2 linked regions of the Macaca mulatta genome follow. The protein of the gene in region 1 purifies or fractionates together with the protein of each later gene. This does not show direct contact. Links are inferred from orthologs where the notes say so. Each region holds a gene or a part of one and is shown in the gene's direction. Other genes may lie near its edges.

What was found.
Region 2: the proteins of CDK13 (region 1) and CCNK purify together in Homo sapiens (affinity purification with mass spectrometry; 4 studies listed by BioGRID and IntAct, counting the BioPlex papers as one, with this or other methods). This does not show direct contact. The link is inferred for Macaca mulatta from reciprocal best matches to the Homo sapiens genes CDK13 and CCNK.

The regions. Positions count from the first base shown.
Region 1 is NC_133408.1:88,478,515-88,482,335, reverse strand, and holds part of CDK13 (cyclin-dependent kinase 13), read left to right. Parts: intron 1-2,417; coding exon 2,418-2,588; intron 2,589-3,821. UniProt on the Homo sapiens protein: Cyclin-dependent kinase which displays CTD kinase activity and is required for RNA splicing.
Region 2 is NC_133412.1:172,832,349-172,836,169, forward strand, and holds the end of CCNK (cyclin-K), read left to right. Parts: intron 1-2,012; coding exon 2,013-2,638; 3' UTR 2,639-3,368; downstream 3,369-3,821. UniProt on the Homo sapiens protein: Regulatory subunit of cyclin-dependent kinases that mediates activation of target kinases.

The DNA.
Region 1 (3,821 bases):
TCTAATTTTATGTTCTTCAGTCAGATGTTTTATTTTTTTTCTGTTGCATGTGTGTATTTCTTTTTAAGGCATTTTATTTTTGTTGCTGTGGTGTCTGGAAGTGTTTTTAAAAGCACATTTTCTATTTGATTATTGCAAATACTCAAAAATGTTTTAAATTATGTAATCTTGGAAAGTAATATTTGATAGTTAATATAATAACATTTAATATAGATAGTTTTTTAAGTTTTAAATTATAACTGAAATTAAAACTTTATTTTTTTGCTTTCAGAAATGTTGATTGAATCTTCAGATAACTCTTGACTAAAGCCTCATTACAAGTTAGAGACTATGGTTTTCAAATAAGTTATTCTAAATAGGCCTATTTTCAGTTGGCGTTCGGGTGATACCTTTTCTAGAAAGAAGCCTTTACTGTATTTCAGACTTGATTTAGCTACCCTTTAGCTACTACATTACTCTAGGAATCTGTTTGTATAACACTTTATCCTACTTCCTGTCTTCCAGACTGTAAGCTCTTTTTTGAAAGAAACTGTAGCTTAATGTGTTTGTTGTTAAATTTCCAGTGCCTTACAAAATACCTAGCACATGGAAGCTCATAATCAATATTTGCTGAATGGAGGGAGAGGAAAATTGAGAAGTGGGCTGTGTGATACATTATTTTAAAATTAAAACTACAGGCCTGACATGATGGCTCACGCCTATAATCCCAGCTCTCTGGGAGGCCAAGGCAGTTCTTTTGGATCACCTGAGGTCGGGAGTACAAGACCAGCCTGGCCAACATGGTGAAACCCTATCTCTACTAGAAATACAAAAAAATTAGCCGGGCATGGTGATGCGTGCCTGTAGTCCCAGCTACTTAGAAGGCTGAGGCAGGAGAATTGCTTGAACTCGGGAGGCGGAGGTTGCAGTGAGCTGAGATTGTGCCACTGCATTCCAGCCTGGGCAACAGAGCAAGACTCCGTCTTAAAGAAACAAAACAAAACTACAAACCAGTTTCTTTTAAAGCATGTTTTTTCTCTGTTAAAGAACCTTTCAGTGAGTAACACAGGACATACATTTACTATGATTATTAGGTCGTTTTTATCAGATGGTATTATTAAGTTTTTATCAAGTGGTATTAAAGGATTCATTTGTTTTACAGTATTATTATTCAACATGAATAGGAGAATAATTACAATTAAATTATTTACATTGATAATAATATCTTCAGTAATTTCTGATCACAGCAGTGTAGTTGGAATAAATTTTTTCACTATGGGACTCAACTGCTATGACAGTATGTGAAGTCCAAATTTTATTATCATTATGAGATTCTCTTTCAACATGTCACATTATATTAGATGACGTACTTTGTCATATCAGGGAAATTTAAAATAAATTGCCAAGTTAAGATATACTTTAAAACTCAGAGCTCTTTATGCATTCATAAAAAGTACAAAGCTAATGGAGTTTAAATTTCAACTGTAATTCTAGTAGGCTGGAATCTTAAAAAAATTAGAAGAATCATTGTCCAATTTAGAAAAATTAATTAACCCTGAAAAGGGTCAAAGCTGAATTAGCTGTGGATATTTAAATGGGCAAGATAAATACTATCATGTGCTTTCATTTATTTATTACAGTAAAACATCTTTTGTGTCTCTACCAGAATCAAAGTAAGTGCTTTGCAGCTGGGTGTTGTGAGGCCAAGGCGGGCAGATCACTTGAGGTCGGGAGTTCAAGACCAGCCTGGCCAACATGGTGAAACCCCGTCTCTACTAAAAATACAAAAATTAGCCGGGTGTGGTGGCAGGCACCTGTAATCCCAGCTATTTGGGAGGCTGAGACAAGAAAATCGCTTGAACCCAGGAGGTGGAGGTTGCAGTGAGCCAAGATCCTGCCACTGCACTCCAGCCTGGGCGACAGTGAGACTCCATCTCAAAAAAAAAAAAAAAAAAATGCTTTGCAAAACTGAGTTCTTATGCAAAGCATGTTTAGTTGATTTTCAATTTTAATGTACAGTTTTATAGTTAATTCTGTATTGTTTTAAAAAATAAACTTTATTTTTATAACAGTCTTATATTTATAGAAAAATTATGAAGATACTACAGGGACCCTGAATACCCTGTACCCAGTTTCCTTACTGTTAATATCTTACATCATTGTGGTACATTAGTTAACAATGAATCAATATTGATACAAAGTTCCTACCTTATACAGATTTCCTTAGTTTTTACCTAATTCTGTATCATTTTTACCCCAAATTTTGCATTTTACAGTTGAGTATAGTGTATTACTTTAGCTAGAAAGAAACTCAGACAATAGTCTTATAATGTGAAATATTGTTGAATATTCATGACTATTGCTGCTTAAATGTAAGACATAAGCACATTTTTATTACTTAACAAAATTTTTATTTGTCTGACTTCTTTCACTTTTAGCTTACGAGGAAATATTTCAGTAAAAGCAGTTAAAAAAGAAGTAGAAAAGAAACTCCGATGTCTTCTTGCTGATTTACCGCTGCCCCCTGAGCTACCAGGAGGAGATGATCTCTCAAAAAGTCCAGAGGAAAAGAAAACAGCAACACAATTACATAGTAAAAGGAGGCCTAAGTATGTGCTTGCTTTCTACCTGCTCTTAAATTGACCGGCAGTGATTCTGGGTCATCAGAAGTTCATAAAACACTAAATTAAGGTTTAAAATAAAAAATGTACTTATTCTTTCAACTTAAATATATGAATTCTATTACAGTTTTGAAAAAATTCATAATTGCTTGCATTCCTATTCACAGTGACTAATAAAACCAAATTTAATTTTCCTTCATAATTTGTAATGTATTAATTTCCTGGGGTATTGTATTTGTTTAAGATATTTTCTGTTATTAAGAGATTGAACACAGAAACACTTAAATTGGGCAGAGTAGAAGTCAGCATTTAGTGAGCCCAAATAAAATTAGTAATGGGCAAGCTGCTATTACCTTTGCTTTTAGCTCCATTTTCTCCTATAAACAAATACATTCTTTGTTTTGCAAGAGGTGGAGTAGAAGGTGGTTTGAAATTTGTATCCTAAATTAGCTTCAAGTAAGTGCCCAGAGAGACCTTTTTCCCTTAAAACCTGTTAATCAGTTAAAGGCGGGCAACACTGGTGCTTTTTTTTTTTTTTTTTTTTTTTTTTTAAACTTCCTAACCAAGGGACAGTGAGGACTTTAAGTTAGATCTGATTTTAGAATTGCAGTTGAGGTAGTATGTAGTGTGTGTGTTTGAGGTCGTTTTCTAAACTGGCCGGGCACAGTGGCTCATGCCTGTAATCCCAGCACTTTGGGAGGCCGAGATGGGAGAATCACTTGAGTCCAGGAGTTTGATACCAGCTTGAGCAACATAGGGAAACCCCATCTCTACAAAAAAAAAAAAAGAAAGAAAAAAGCCCGGTGTGGTGGTGCATGCCTGTGGTCCCAGCTGCTCAGGAGGCTAACGCAGGAGTATCACCAGAGCCAAAGAGGTCAGGGCTGTAATGAGCTATGATCGTGTGCTACTGTACTCCAGCCTGGGCGACAAAGCAAGACCCTGTTTCCAAAAAAAAAAAAAAAAAAAAAAAAGCCAAAAAATACTCTCTTCTTGAGCACTGTAATTTTATTCTTTTACTTGAATTTCTGTGATTTACTATAATATTAAAATACTACAAAATTATGTATCTTTTTGAAGAATGTAAGATTTTTGTCCTACCTATCCATCTGTATCTGCTTAAATGTGGATTCATGAGAGTTGGTTGTATTAATACCTTTTGTACTCTCTTAGACTGCAAAATCTTTTTTTTTGATGTTTTTCAGATGATTTCATCCAGCCATA
Region 2 (3,821 bases), on another chromosome or scaffold:
GCTCGTGAAGCATTTAAGGAGCACCTCCTCGCCAAGTACAGTTCCCCTGGTCCAAGCCTGGGGCTGTGCCTTCACTGAGGAGACGGATGGTTCACCTGGGGATCCCGGGGCGGCCAGAGAGGTGCTGCTGCCTCCAGGGCACTGAGTAGCTGCTGTGGAGGCCTCAGAGCTCTGCTCCCTCCCACATTACAGACAGCCAGGAGTAGGCCTGGGACTTGAGTGGGACCTGGGAACCAGATACACTGCCAGGAGGCCATGGCTGGAAAGAGCAGGGCCTGGGAGGCACAGTAAAGCTGGGCCACGAGGAACGGAGGGAAGCACGCTTCCTGGGAGGCCCTAGACCATGGGAAGAGGTGTTCAGGTCAGCAGTGATGTTTAGGGAGGGGTTTGGTGGCAGTGTATGGCACTTGGTCAGGAGCAAGTGTACAGAGGGAATGGGGTGCCGAGGATAGACCCCCACTTGCTGTTCGAGCTCAGTCACACAGCACAAGGGCGGGTGCACTGGTGACTTGAAGATTCAGGCTGCAGGGTCGAGTGTTGGAAGAGTTGGCTTCTGCAAGGTAGAGGAGCAGGCCTGTGGCCCAGGTGGCTGTGGAATGACACACAGGAGGCATTGAAGGGTGTCAGCGCTTTTCTGCACCTCTTTTTTAGTCAGCTTCTGGAACCACAGGGCATCTGGCCCTGACCTGGAGCCAAAGCCAGTTCTCTAAGGCCAGGCATATATGGCCTTCCTGCCCAGTGGCTGGCGAGGGCTGATCTGCACAGGCAGTCCCCAATGGCACACCTGTTACCAGCCCAATCAATCCTGCTCATGCTCGCTTTGGCAAGATCAAACGGGTTGTGTGCCAATGGCCACGTCTACACAACCAGGATGTCATGCTCTGCCTTCCCTAACCCAAGTGCCTGGGGAACCAGAAGCATCTTCATGGCCTTTGTCCTCTTTATGTTCTCTGGAACCAGAAATGTTGTGCCTATGGTTTGTCTCCTGTGCTGCCTTGGGAAAGGACACTCATTCTGTGTGTTTGGCTACTTGTGGTGGGGTGTTCCGACGCCATTTTCCAGGGGTCTGATGGTGACCAAGAGATCACAGGCCAAAATGTGTTAAATAAGGCTTTGGCGGAAGGGGGCATGAGGGCTCATGGGCTGGGAGGCGCTGCGGGAGGGGCCTGAGGCTGGTTCTGAGCACAAGTATCTTGGGTGTGCTTGACACCTAGTGCTGCCTATCCCTGCTGCATACACACAGCAGCACGCACACACACAGCAGCACGCACGCACACAGCAGCACGCACACACACAGCAGCACGCACACACACAGCAGCACGCACACACACAGCAGCACGCACACACACAGCAGCACGCACACACACGAAGCATGCACACACACGCAGCACGTAGCACGCAGCACGCACGCGCAGCACGCTTGCACACACTCCTCTCAAGGAGGCTGCTATCTGAGAGTACGCAGTGGGGTTTGATCTAACCCCTCTTGAGTAGAATAGAACCTGAATTGCTGCTTCGATGGGTACATTGGGAATGTCAGAGACTTGTACGGAATTATTTTAAATGCCATCACATTCATTTGACCAACTCTGAGGCTTTCTGCAAAATGCCACTGCTGCAGACAGGAGTTCAGTGTGGCCCTGACTCTTGGGGTCAGTTTCTGAAGGCAGAAAAACAGAGGAGCCCCCACACATTTTACACTAGGAAGAGGGGGCTGGGGCCAGGGCACAAGGGGGCTTCGTGTGCTGCCGAGACTGCCTGCGGGTGGTGTGGTTAGGGCTGAGGGAGGGAAACCCCAGCTCATCACAGACAGGGTGGAGGGCCTTTTTGACAAATGGTGGGGAGACATCTGGTGGCATCAGGACATGGGGAACGGGCCCATGTGTTGGGCCACAGAGGAAGGGGCAGCTGCTCCCTGCTCCTCTGTAAAGATGGCCCTGAAGGGCCAGGAGGCACTGAAAAAGCAGCTATTGCTTGCAGAGGCCGGGCACCAACACATCTCTCTCCTGCAGACCGGAAGCCTCCCCTCGCTGCTGCCTTAGGTGAGGCTGAGCCGCCGGGCCCTGTGGATGCCACTGACCTCCCCAAAGTCCAGATTCCTCCTCCGGCTCACCCGGCCCCTGTGCACCAGCCACCGCCGCTGCCACACCGGCCCCCGCCCCCGCCGCCCTCCAGCTACATGACTGGGATGTCCACCACCAGCTCCTACATGTCTGGAGAGGGCTACCAGAGCCTGCAGTCCATGATGAAGACCGAGGGACCCTCCTACGGCGCCCTGCCCCCCGCATACGGCCCACCTGCACACCTGCCCTACCACCCCCATGTCTACCCACCCAATCCGCCCCCACCACCTGTGCCTCCTCCCCCAGCCTCCTTCCCCCCACCTGCCATCCCGCCCCCTACTCCTGGCTACCCTCCACCCCCACCCACCTACAACCCCAACTTCCCACCCCCACCTCCACGCCTGCCCCCTACCCATGCAGTCCCCCCTCATCCTCCTCCAGGCTTGGGCCTGCCTCCAGCCAGCTACCCACCTCCTGCCGTGCCCCCTGGAGGACAGCCCCCTGTGCCCCCGCCCATTCCCCCACCTGGCATGCCTCCAGTTGGGGGACTGGGGCGGGCAGCCTGGATGAGATAACGTGAGCCTTTTTTTCCCCCTTTGTTTTTTTTAACAAGTTTTTCTAATCGACTTGCAGAGTAGTTGAAGTGGGTAAGCAGCAGGGTACCTTATATAATGCGCGACAGTTGCAGTATGGGAAGAATGGACCAGGCCCCTGGGATAAAATCAGGGTGGTCCTCACATCTAGAGGACGGGGACAGCCAGCTTTCAGAGTAGCCTCATCAGCGCCCTTGCAGTCTGACTGTGTACACTTGGTTCAGCTAATGTCTGAGAGTCCTGCACTGGGTTACTTTATACTAGTGAAGATGTTAACCAGCCATATTGGCTCAATAAATAGCTTCGGTAAGGAGTTAATTTCCTTCTAGAAATCAGTGCCTACTTTTCCTGGAAACTCATTTTAAATAGTCAAATTCCATCTGAAGTCAAGCTGTTGTCATTTTCATTCAATGACGTTCTCTCCCATGACACCCAGAAGGGTCAGAAGAACCACATTTTTGATTTATAGATGTTTGCATCCTTTGTATTAAAATCATTTTGAAGGGGTTGCCTCGTTGGATGGCTTTTTTTCCTCCAAGGAGAAGGGGAGAAATGTACTTGGAAAGTAATGTATGTTTACATCTATTTGCAAATTCCTGTACATAGAGATACATTTTTTAAGTGTGAATGTAACAACATACTGTGAATTCCATCTTGGTTACAAATGAGACTCCTTCAGTCAGTTATCCAAATAAAAGCAGTTCTGAAACTATCCCTTTCTCTGTTAATGGGTGGAAGGTAGGGCTCCAGGCCTTCGCAGTCCCCGGGTGATAACATTGTACAAGCCCCTCCTTCCGGACCCTGGGCACCGGGAGAGGCCTGGCTGCAGTTCACAGGAGCCAGAGCCAACCCCACTGCCTCCCAGGGCACTCTGGGTGGATCGGCACATTGGCCTGCCAAGCCAGCCTGCACCCATCCTGTGCCTGCCTTGGTTTCCTTTGGAGGACCTGGTTGAGTTCCAAACCAGCTTGAAACTTTCAAGCCTTGCTGCATAGAACACAGACGGGAACACAGGCTTGGGTTTGAAACCCTTTCCACTTCTGGCCTGCGATGAGACGGAGGCAGCTGGAGGAGCAGCGGCCTCGCCATCCACCTTGAGGGGCCAGGGCTGTGTCTGTGGAAGGGGCCCCGACTGAGCCCCCATCTGAGGTGCTTGAAGGGCCTT